Linked DNA regions of Caenorhabditis elegans. The protein of the gene in region 1 interacts with the protein of each later gene in a pairwise test. Each region holds a gene or a part of one and is shown in the gene's direction. Other genes may lie near its edges. The genes, in order: atz-1, skp-1 and memi-3.

Evidence for each region.
Region 2: the proteins of atz-1 (region 1) and skp-1 interact in a two-hybrid assay, tested with the Caenorhabditis elegans proteins (2 studies listed by BioGRID).
Region 3: the proteins of atz-1 (region 1) and memi-3 interact in a two-hybrid assay, tested with the Caenorhabditis elegans proteins (2 studies listed by BioGRID).

The regions. Positions count from the first base shown.
Region 1 is NC_003282.8:12,374,520-12,378,276, reverse strand, and holds atz-1 (Protein atz-1), read left to right. Parts: upstream 1-2,155; 5' UTR 2,156-2,223; coding exon 2,224-2,519; intron 2,520-2,570; coding exon 2,571-2,648; intron 2,649-2,999; coding exon 3,000-3,432; 3' UTR 3,433-3,596; downstream 3,597-3,757. Other genes in the region: wdr-46 (WD repeat-containing protein 46), read right to left, coding at 3,598-3,757. UniProt on the Caenorhabditis elegans protein: Plays a role in meiosis, germline development and oocyte morphogenesis. May play a role in DNA replication.
Region 2 is NC_003283.11:11,643,571-11,647,327, forward strand, and holds the start of skp-1 (mammalian SKIP (Ski interacting protein) homolog), read left to right. Parts: upstream 1-1,910; 5' UTR 1,911-1,927; coding exon 1,928-1,947; intron 1,948-1,992; coding exon 1,993-2,149; intron 2,150-2,194; coding exon 2,195-3,280; intron 3,281-3,329; coding exon 3,330-3,426; intron 3,427-3,757. Other genes in the region: Chromosomal passenger complex protein bir-1, read left to right, coding at 1,193-1,315, 1,360-1,704.
Region 3 is NC_003282.8:11,401,367-11,404,971, reverse strand, and holds memi-3 (MEiosis-to-MItosis transition associated), read left to right. Parts: upstream 1-1,633; 5' UTR 1,634-1,634; coding exon 1,635-2,114; intron 2,115-2,161; coding exon 2,162-2,347; intron 2,348-2,396; coding exon 2,397-2,588; intron 2,589-2,638; coding exon 2,639-2,815; 3' UTR 2,816-3,027; downstream 3,028-3,605. Other genes in the region: cyp-31A2 (CYtochrome P450 family), read right to left, coding at 1-131, 180-274, 321-417, 461-861, 908-1,000; his-65 (Histone H2A), read right to left, coding at 3,497-3,605.

The DNA.
Region 1 (3,757 bases):
AATAAACGGGCGGTGCGAACTCGATTGGTCTTTAGATCAGCTAGAGGAGTATTTAAGGAACAATGCTACAGTTGGTTCAAAATTGGACAAACTTTTGTTATCGGAAAGGAAAGTATGTAAGGAAGACACTTTACATTACGGGAAGTTGACTACAGTAGTCTTTTACGAATATTTTTGCAAACAATTTTTATAAACATAATCGATCAGCAATTATTTAAAATTTCAGATGATTTCCATCTGGATTCTACTTATATCTCTGCTCCTCACTGTGAACAGCCGGACAATCGTAGTCTATAATAATAGATGCGTGGGCGGCAAAGTATTTAAATGTGGATGATGATTGGAGAAATGGAAAGATTTGGGCACGGACTGGATGTGATGGAGATTTCAATTGTGAGACTGGAACTTGTTTGGTGAGTTTTCCGTAGTTTGAATGTAACTTTTTTGAAGTCTATAGATCTATACTTTAACAGTGTATCATTTTGAAAGTATAAGTTTCTATGGAAGTTTTGAAACAAATAAACACTTGGGGATATTTGATCAAAACATTTTGAACAATTTTTTAAGTTCAGCCAAAAAATTGTGTAAAAGGGAAATACGAAAAAGTACTTTAGATGTTCTAGAATATCTGAAAGTCGTGAATTGTCAAGGACGTACATCATTTTTTTTTTGATGAATATTCCAAAATCTATTACCAAAATACATTTTCATTTTCGGGCAAATTTTTGGTCTTTTTTCTGTCAAACTCTGGGCACGTTTTACGGTCGTCGAAACTATATAATCTTTTTGCCAAATTTTTGCTACTTTCTGCCAAACTTTGGGCAAGCTTCTCAACAGTAAATGTTGACAGGAAGTTTCAAACGTTTCGCAGAATTCACACGCATATACTGAATAAGTTTCAAAACATCCGAAATTGGGAATACCCGAAGTCTTGAAAAAAAATGAAAAAGGTTTGAGAGTTTTACACTTTTTCCAGAACGCAGAACAATGCAATGGAAGGACAGGAACTCCACCCGCATCTGTCGCAGAATTCAATTTGAAATCTTGGGCTGGAAGAGACTTTTATGCAGTTAATCTAATCGATGGTTACAATCTCCCAATGTTAATTGATGGGTTGGGATGTCAAAGAGCCGGTGGATGCATCTCTGATGTAAATGCTGCATGCCCTACAGAACTTGCAGTGAAGAGTAGTTCAGGTTACACTGTTGGGTGTAAATCTGGATGTCTTGGATATGGAACTGATAAGGAATGCTGCCGTGGGGAGTATGATTCTCCAGATAAATGCACAATGAGCTCTACAACGAAGATGTTCAAGAATGCATGTCCAGGTGCATACACTTATCCATTTGACAACTCAACAATGTTCGTGTGCTTGAAACCTTCGTCGTATACCGTTCAATTTTGTTGAATTTTTGAATTTTTTACCAAAAACTTAACTGAAATTTCTAGATAATTTTTTTTTCGAATGAACTATTTTCGGTTTATTGAAAGTTTTTGATTCTTGCTTCACTGATAACATGAGAAAAAAGATACAGTTATCTGACCAATCAACTATTTAATTCGGCGTCTGTCATGCCAACTTTTTGGTTAATATTCACAAAAAAAAGTGTTGCAGAAAGTTTGTAGCAGAAAGAAAATGCCTAGAATACAAGTTGGTAATTGAAATTGGAATAATGTCTGTCACCTATTTTTGATTCAACGTTTGGTAAAAAGAGCTTCAGATATTGAAAACTAATGGAAACTTTGAACATGACACCTTTTTTTACCCAAAAAATGTAAAAATGCAAGAAAAATATATTAACTAAAGTTCTGACTATCAATGACCGTTCTTTAGGTTTCAAAAAATTAATCCAGATAATTTTCACAGCCACAGTTTAGGTAGTACTGCCATTTCTCTTGACAATGCATAACATTTTAGGTGGCCTTTTACAAATTTGAATATGCATTTAGCTCATCTAGTTCACTAATTACCCTTTTTAATGAAGTGTTTCATTCCAATAAACGTCTCCTATGACCTAATCTCCTTCCCTTCGAGACCATATAGAGAGAGAGAGAGAGAGCAAACATAGTATGTCAGACAATGATGACGTGTCTACCTCTTGGAAAGGTCAACTGCTACGGTAGATACCATCTATTAGCAGTGCTCCTCTTCTTGTCTCATTTCACTCGCACAGGTCCCTATCGACTGGTTGTCACCCTTTTTCTGTCTGTAATATTCAAATAATGGCTTCGATCGAACTCCGCAATGTGCAAACCGAGCTTGCCGCGAAGAACTTGCAATTCAAAGTGCTCACTGAAAAGTTTTTGGAGCAACGAAAAGAGCTTTTCGATGCGAAGAAGACTGATTCGAATGTCGAATATGTGGAATGTTTGAGTGAGAAATTGAGAGTTGCCACGGAAAGAATTTCGGATCTTGAAAAGGAGACGAAAGAAGGAAAACAAGTAGCAAATGAGGAAATTGGTCGATTGGAGAAACTTTTGAGGGAAGCACAGCAGAAAAGGGATGCGAAAATTGATGAGTGAGTTTTTAAGAATTTGAGTTCCTAAAATTTATCGAATTATTTTTTCAGGTCATATCAGACATTCTTGAGAATCGAATTACTTGTGGCTAACCTTGGTGAGAGCACAGATCCTGAGAATGAAAAACGGTGAGTTTCGGAGCCTACCCAAGTTAAAACGCAACGCCTCTAAAGTTGGGTCTCGTTAGGTATTGGCGAAGGCAAAATCAGAAATTCAAATTTTTTCAAGAGTTTTTCCACTATTTCTATGTCGAAACAAATCATGTAAAATACACGAGAAACCCTTATTCAAATGCATCTTTAAAGACCATTTCGACATTAAAATCGATAATAACAACAAAAACGTTTGAATTTACGAGTTTCCTGCCAATACCTAATGAGACCCATCATTGGAGCGCGCTTGTGCCTTGATGATTTCAAAAAACCATTTTTTGCGTCCCCATAATAACAAGCACAAATGCAAAAAGTAACACTTTTCAGAATCAAAAATTTGATGCCAGCAGCGAAAACTGGTATTCCACCAGAGGGTGTTTTGAGATTGACGATTAATGCATTGGACAGTGCTGCTAGAGAATCCAAGAAAAAGACGATGGCCATCGAGAGCCTCACGAAACAGGTCGACGATGCGAACAAGCTCACTGAAGTCTATATGAAACGGCTTGAAGAGCTGGAGGACAAGCATCGATTCGAAGAGGCGCTCACGTTGAAGATCCAGGCGATGATGATCGAGACGACGGGGCAGTTGGAAGCCCAGAAGAAGATCATTGCGGATCTTCAGAAGAAGAATGACGATCTTATGAAAGAAGAGGAAGGGGAAGAAGATTATGAAGAGGAGGAGAACTACGAGGTTGAAGAAGACTTTGAGGATGAGGAAGAGTATGATGAGGAGGGAGAAGAGGAAGATTACGAATAAAATACATACTAGTTTCTACTTTTTTATTTTACTGTTTGTTTTTTCCTTCGTTTCATAAATTTCCAAATGTCAAATCTTTTAAAGAAATAATTTCAAAAATTCAGTAAAAACAAAACGAAAATAACGCAAAATCAACAACAACAAAAAATAAAATTGATTATCCTTCTATTTGAGACGATCCAGAATGTGTTTCTTTTTCGGAGCCTCGTCATCCACTTCCGGTGCTTCAAAAACTTCCTTCTCCACCGCATGTTTCTCCATATTCCGTTCCATTCGAATCTGATCCTTGACAATATTCTTACGAGCCTCCATCTTCCAACCACTC
Region 2 (3,757 bases), on another chromosome or scaffold:
ATTCAAAAATAATCAAGTGTAAATCTGTAGAAGAATCTAAACTGTTCAAGTTAAAAATTGATTTTCGATTATTTTTGAGATTACTCATTAATTAGTAATCATAAATAATATTATTTACCGTATTTCCTCTATTAGTAAGGCATGCAAAACTAATTTTCGGACACCTAATTTGATGCAAAACTAATAGAAGGTGCTAAACTAATTTTCGAACAGGTTTTTTCTCATGTTTTCCATTAAGTTATGACATAATATCATCAATTTCAATAACAACTTATGAACCAAAATGGACGAATTTTACGACTGATACGCAAAAATTGTCCGAATTGTACTCATATTTTGCCAATTTTGACTTGTTATACCAAGTCTGTAAGAGTTTTCCTAATTTTTAGAACGATTTTATAATGCAAATTTTAAATTCCTAAAAATAGGGAACAAATGGAGGGGTGCAAAACTATTAGAGGTGCAAAACTAATAGAGCGTGCAAAACTAATTTTCGATTAGTGATTTTAGATGCAAAACTAATGGAGGTGCAAAACTAATAGAGGTGCCTAACTATTTAATAGAGGAAATACGGTAAATTTCAGTTTTAGCCAGTTGAGAGAGGTTGAGCCGCAGGCTCGATCGACACCGTCCGGTTAAAAAGTTAATAGAATCTTTTTCCATTGAATCAAAGTTATTGTTAATTTGTTTAGTTTTCAACAAACTCATTGAGTTTCCTGTCTTCTTGGAGGTTTTGGTACGCGCGCACGTGCGCTCTACTGACCAATGGCCGTGGCCTAGCTTTCTTGGTGGCTGTATATTTCAGCGCGAAATTCGTCAGTGCGACGCGAGCTACATTTATTGATTTTTCAACATTTTATTCGATAAATGTTTTCTGAGATTTGTTTTTCATTTATATTTAAATACACACTGAAAAAATAAAACCACGTGGCGTGGATGCGCGAATTTCATGAAATTAAACTTCATTTTCGAAATCTATTAAAATACGCCACGAAGTTTTATTATTTTCAATGTAAGTCTCGTTTTATCTTTTCCTTTTATCAATCGATTTCAACGCTTTCAACTTATTTTTTTGGAATTGTGGTTTTTAGTTCAAATCTTCTTAACTGTATTTCGAATTTTTAATCTCTACCTGTTCGAAATAGATTCCTCAAGATTAAGATACCTAGTTGTTTTTCATTGATTTCAGAAAATGGCACCCGGGACCAAAAAAAAGTCGGATATGGCAAAATTCACATTCTACAAAGATCGCTTGATGACATTCAAAAATTTCGAATATGATAGAGACCCGGATGCAAAATGCACGTCTCAAGCGGTTTGTCCATTTTCGTGTTTTAAATAAAATTATTCTTGTTTTAGGTTGCTCAAGCCGGATTTTACTGCACCGGTCCTCAGTCTGGCAAATGTGCATTTTGCAACAAGGAACTTGATTTTGACCCAGAAGACGATCCGTGGTACGAGCACACGAAACGTGATGAACCGTGCGAGTTTGTACGGATTGGAAAGCTCGATGACTCGGAATTAACTATTAACGATACCGTTCGTCTCTCACAAACCGCCATGATTATGACTAAACTCTTTGAGCATGAGATGATGATAAATAATTTGTCTAATCATTCTTCTTCTGATGCTCTCTTCGATCAGCTGAAAAAAGTACCGAACACAGCATCGACAACAAAATCTAACAGCCGCCGCGGCAAATAATTTTTCTACATCACTTACTGCAACTTATCCAATTATTGATTTGATCTCATATACTCGATTTAATCACTGTTCAATAAACACTTAATTCATTATTTTATTATTCATTCAATGTTTTTGTTTTGAAATTATAACTTGTGTTTCATCGGCACTACAATATCTTCCAGTTTTGTATTTGATTCTTTTTTTGTCTAAAAAAACAATTTCAGGACAGTATTTCATCAGGATGTCGATGAAACTACGAGAGTGAGTGTATTTCACTGATTATCATGTAAAACCAATGTTTTTTAGTATCCTTCCTGCTCCTGTGGCGGCAGACGAAGCAGCTTCACAGATTCGACGAGATCCTTGGTTTGGTGGGCGCGATAACGAACCATCCGCCGCACTCGTATCGAAGGAACCACCGCCGTACGGAAAACGGACCAGTTTTCGACCAAGAGGGCCTGAAGTGAGATTGAAAATATTAATATTCTTCTTAATTTTTCTTTTCCAGGATTTTGGCGATGGCGGAGCGTTCCCTGAAATTCACGTTGCTCAGTTTCCTCTCGGATTAGGTCTTGGAGATATGAGAGGAAAGCCAGAAAATACGCTCGCCTTGCAATATGGAACTGATGGAAAGTTACAACACGATGCTATTGCTCGTATCGGACATGTTAAGGATAAAGTTGTCTACTCCAAGCTTAATGATATGAAAGCCAAGACGTGGAACGAGGATGATGATGATATTCAGAAACCAGACGATGACGCTGTTATCGATGCTACGGAGAAGACAAGAATGGCTTTGGAAAAAATCGTAAATTCAAAAGTAGCCTCAGCACTTCCTGTTCGTCATGCCGACAAGTTAGCACCTGCTCAATATATCAGATACACTCCAAGTCAGCAGAATGGAGCTGCTGGATCACAACAGCGCATCATCAGAATGGTTGAAGAACAAAAAGATCCGATGGAACCACCAAAGTTCAAAATCAATCAGAAGATTCCTAGAGCACCACCATCTCCACCGGCACCAGTCATGCATTCTCCTCCAAGAAAAATGACAGCTAAAGATCAAAACGATTGGAAGATTCCACCATGTATTTCAAATTGGAAAAATCCAAAAGGATTCACAGTTGGGTTGGACAAACGATTGGCTGCTGATGGACGTGGTCTCCAACAGACTCATATTAATGAAAACTTTGCGAAGCTTGCTGATGCTTTGTACATTGCTGATAGAAAAGCTCGTGAAGAGGTTGAGACACGTGCTCAGCTTGAAAGACGCGTTGCTCAAAATAAGAAGTCTGAGCAAGAGGCTAAAATGGCAGAAGCCGCAGCAAAAGCCCGCCAGGAAAGATCAGCGATGCGGAGAAAGGACGATGAAGATGATGAACAAGTCAAAGTTCGCGAAGAAATTCGACGTGATCGTCTCGACGATATCAGGAAAGAAAGAAATATTGCTCGTTCACGACCAGATAAAGCTGACAAGCTTCGCAAAGAGCGTGAAAGAGATATTTCGGAGAAAATTGTGCTTGGTTTGCCGGACACGAATCAGAAACGAACTGGCGAACCACAGTTCGATCAAAGATTGTTTGATAAAACCCAGGTTTCAGTTCCTTCTTCGATAAAATTTAACTAATATATTTATTTTTCAGGGACTCGACAGTGGAGCAATGGACGATGATACTTACAATCCTTATGATGCTGCGTGGCGTGGCGGTGACAGTGTTCAACAGCACGTTTATCGACCGAGTTAGTTTTTCTTGCTTATTTTCAAATATAAATTAAAATTAGTAACGGGTCTAGGTATTTTGAATGTATATATATATATATACCCACAATGCTCTAAAATGAACGAATTTCATAATGAAACGTTCCAGAAGTTTTTCAAAAAAAAAGTTTTATGGCGTTTTAAAATTTCAAAAAAAAACATTATTTTAGCTGAAATCTTATTTTGGCAGTTTATCTTATGCTATTCTAAGGTACATTTAAAATCGAAAGGTTACCGAAATTGATTACCTATGTTTGCTTAAAAAGTACCTCAATTGACGATATTACGTGATATTAAAATTTAAAAAAAGAT
Region 3 (3,605 bases), 970 kb from region 1:
CCAAAAATGCGAGACGACCTTCCATCTTATAATCATTCTCCTGTAGAGCTTCCTTTCTCTCGACAATCACTTTCTTTGTGAAATCATGGAGAATACGAAGACATTTTTCATGAGTCCGTCCGTCCTCTGTTCTGAAAATTACAAATTAATTCACCTTATTAATGATAAAACTACCGTACAAATTATAAATAAATGAATTCCACATCAACGGATTATTTGTTCTTTTTGAAATCAGTTTATTGATTGTGTGCACCGCCCATACATACTCGTTATTCTGAAAAAGTATTTAGAAATTTTGAGATTCGAGTTGTTTACCCAACCTCCGCGAGTTGAGCACCAATAGCTTTCCCCATAGAGGTTTCGCAAATGATGTCAAGAGTGCAAAGGGTTATAACGGAGAGAACATCAACTTCTTCACTGAAAAGAAACATTTGAACGAGTTATCAATTAAAATTCTTACTCTGCTCCGAGGCAACACAATTTCTGAACCAAAATCTTTGATTGCTCGTTAAAAATCGGCAAAAAATCCTTGAGAATATCATAATGGAATGTTGGTGTCAATAGTTTTCGTTTTGGACGCCATTGTTCCTTTTGGCTCGTCAAAATACTGATTCCAAGCCATGGCTCGAGCAAAACGTATGCGAACCCTTTGTTCAGATGTTTCGTCGATGAGAAAATTGGTTCAACAAGATCGGCAGAGTAGAGCATCAGACATGGAAATGGGCCAATCCAGAGAAGACACATCCGTGGATCTGGATACAAATATCCCATTCCAATCACTTGGTTCATGAATCCCTCTGGATCGGGCTTGGTGATGAGTCCGTGACCAACGATTGGATATGATCGTGGCTGATTGAGGTGCTGGAAATTTATTTGAGTTATCTTTGAATGCATTTTGCAATCTGACCTTCAAAACTTGACGCATTCTCAAATGTTTGTAGAGAAGCCAAGCGATCACAGTCGCCATAGCGAGAAGTACAGCGGGGATGATGACCCCCATTGCAAAACCTTCTGAAATAATTTATTTGTGCGAAGAAACGAGCAAAACGCGTTTAAAACATGAGAAAAAGCGTTTGTTAAGCTTTGGTTCTAAAAAAAGAAAAAAAACGAACAGTTTTTGAATCAACATTCAAATTTCACGCATGTCGTAGTGAGACCCATCTGAAAATCGCCATGCGCCTTTAAAGAGTACGGTAGGCTCAAAAAAATTCTAAAACTGATTTTTGTTGTTTTCTGATATATCATGATATTTAAATCTTGATTTAATGATTAAAAACTTTCAATCGCGTTAATTTTTCAACAAAAAAAAAAGAAAACAAATCCAAAATTATTTTTCAATAAGTATTGTACTTTTTATGAATGCATCGCCTATTTGACCTATTCGATCTCCCCCGCGAAAAGTCAGCGCAACAATTGTGTTATTTTAGGCCCAACGAAAATTTTTGATTGTGAACATTCTTCTACTTTGCTGATGTTCAGAGAGCCGTAATGAAATTTCATAAATATTGTTTTATCGGTGAAGCATTATTAATCTGTTAATCACTTGAGTACATTGTTTTTTTTAAAGTTTTATCTTTAATTTTTGCTTCGAATTCTTATTTTTCCATTAATTTTTCAAACCAACGTTTTTTAGAATGTCAGCTCCGTCCCGTACCGTTCTTCGCGAATTGACGGCGACCAAATACGTGGCCAACTACACCGATGAATATCAATTGGAAACCGCTCGAGCCGGTTGCTCAGCCCTCCCACCACAACCCAACATCAATCATGATGCAATTATCGAAGGGCATGGAGAAGACGTGGAGCTCGTCGAGGATAAGAACTACCGTTCCCTGCATCGTATCGATGAAACTCCAAAGCTCGTCGACAAGAAGCCGAGCAAGGCAATCATCCGCGATGAAGCTGTCAAAGTGCTAAGAGACATTCAAACAATGCCGATTGAAAATCTCCGTCTCAAGCGCTACGACTTCTTCTCGCAAAGATGGTTCAACACGACCAGAGAATCGGAGAAAGCGCTTGTCGAGCACGTGCTCCTTCATCCGAACCAGCGACCACACTATTTCGCCGCTCAGTGCCGCATGCTTTCGGCCGAAGATATCTCCAGTCTGATTCTAGTTAGTTTCTTGAGTATATTTTTCCCAAAAAAATTTTTTTATTTCAGACTTCCCTCCTGGCCGAGCCGAAAGAGACGGGTCAAAATGTGGTTCGATTTGCGATCCAGGCAAAGACTGCAATGCCGTTCCAGCAATTGTTTGCAATTCTCGAAAAACTGGAGATGGAAATCGAAGGCTTCCAGATGACAGACAGCTTTGTGGTGGCAACATTGATCCGATCACAGAGCAAGAGTGTACGTAAAATAGTTTTCTATTTCACACCGATAACTTTTCATATTTCAGACTACCACTCGTCGCCTGCGAACAACAAACTGCCGGGAATACGGAAATCTCGAGCCAGGACTCGATTCACAAGGCCGACTGATGGCCTCGACTGCATCAATCACGTGTTCGATTCGAGGAAAGCGCCACGTGGAAACGAGGATCGTGTACAATAACAACTCGAGCGCCAGGGATCCTTTCCGGAGATATAGAGTGAGTTGAATAGCAATAATTTATCGGTTTCCAATTTATAACGTTTTCAGTACATCGAATTGGAGCAAACGGTGAAGTGCATGAACCGACGAGTGCAGATTGTCGAAGAGCCAGTCGAATTTCATGAATTCGAGGTCGAAAACGATATGGTCTCGTTGAGAAATGGAATGGTGCTTGTCGACGACCTAATCTCGTTCCTCGAAACATTCGAACTGGATGAAGAGTGAATTCATTTGTCCAATAATTAGTTATAATGTGCATAAGTTTTTGTATATATCTATCTGAATAACTAAGTGGTTCCTGTTAAATATATCAACTAACTTTCCCCTATTTTATTTTCCATTCCTCCAACTCACCATGACCCTCGAATATTTTGTTTATGTTCAACATGTATATTGCTTGAATTAACTTTACCAAATCATGAACTGGTTGATTTAAAAAATCTTTTTAACATGACTCTGAAAAATTTTTCAAATTAAATTCTTCTGATAAGCTGATAATTTTCTGGTTTCAGATATCAAAATTTTTATACAGCCGGGTACAATGATTTACGATATGGAAGATGCCTCCAGCCTAAAAAGATGAATTCGAAATTAGAATTAATGAACGCAAATTTCTGAAAACGCTGGCAATTCCAGCTTGCGACATGCAACTTTTCGATACTTGAGGCTTGATAGGCAATTGGCCACATTACATAGTGATCATAATTCTGCAATTTCTAAATGTCGTTTCCTGACCGATATCTTGGCTCGAAAACATGTGAAAACTTATTGACAGTAATACTGATTGAATTCAAGCAAACATATTATTCAAAATAAATGTAATATGAAATATCTTTAGGATTTTTTATATTTGTGGCCCTAAAGAGGGCCGTTGGGTTCGGTGGGTTTGTTTAAAGAAGAAAGTTCTTACTCCTTATCTCCTCCAGTCTTCTTTGGGAGAAGAACGGCTTGGATGTTTGGAAGAACTCCTCCTTGGGCGATGGTCACTCCGGCCAAAAGCTTGTTGAGCTCCTCG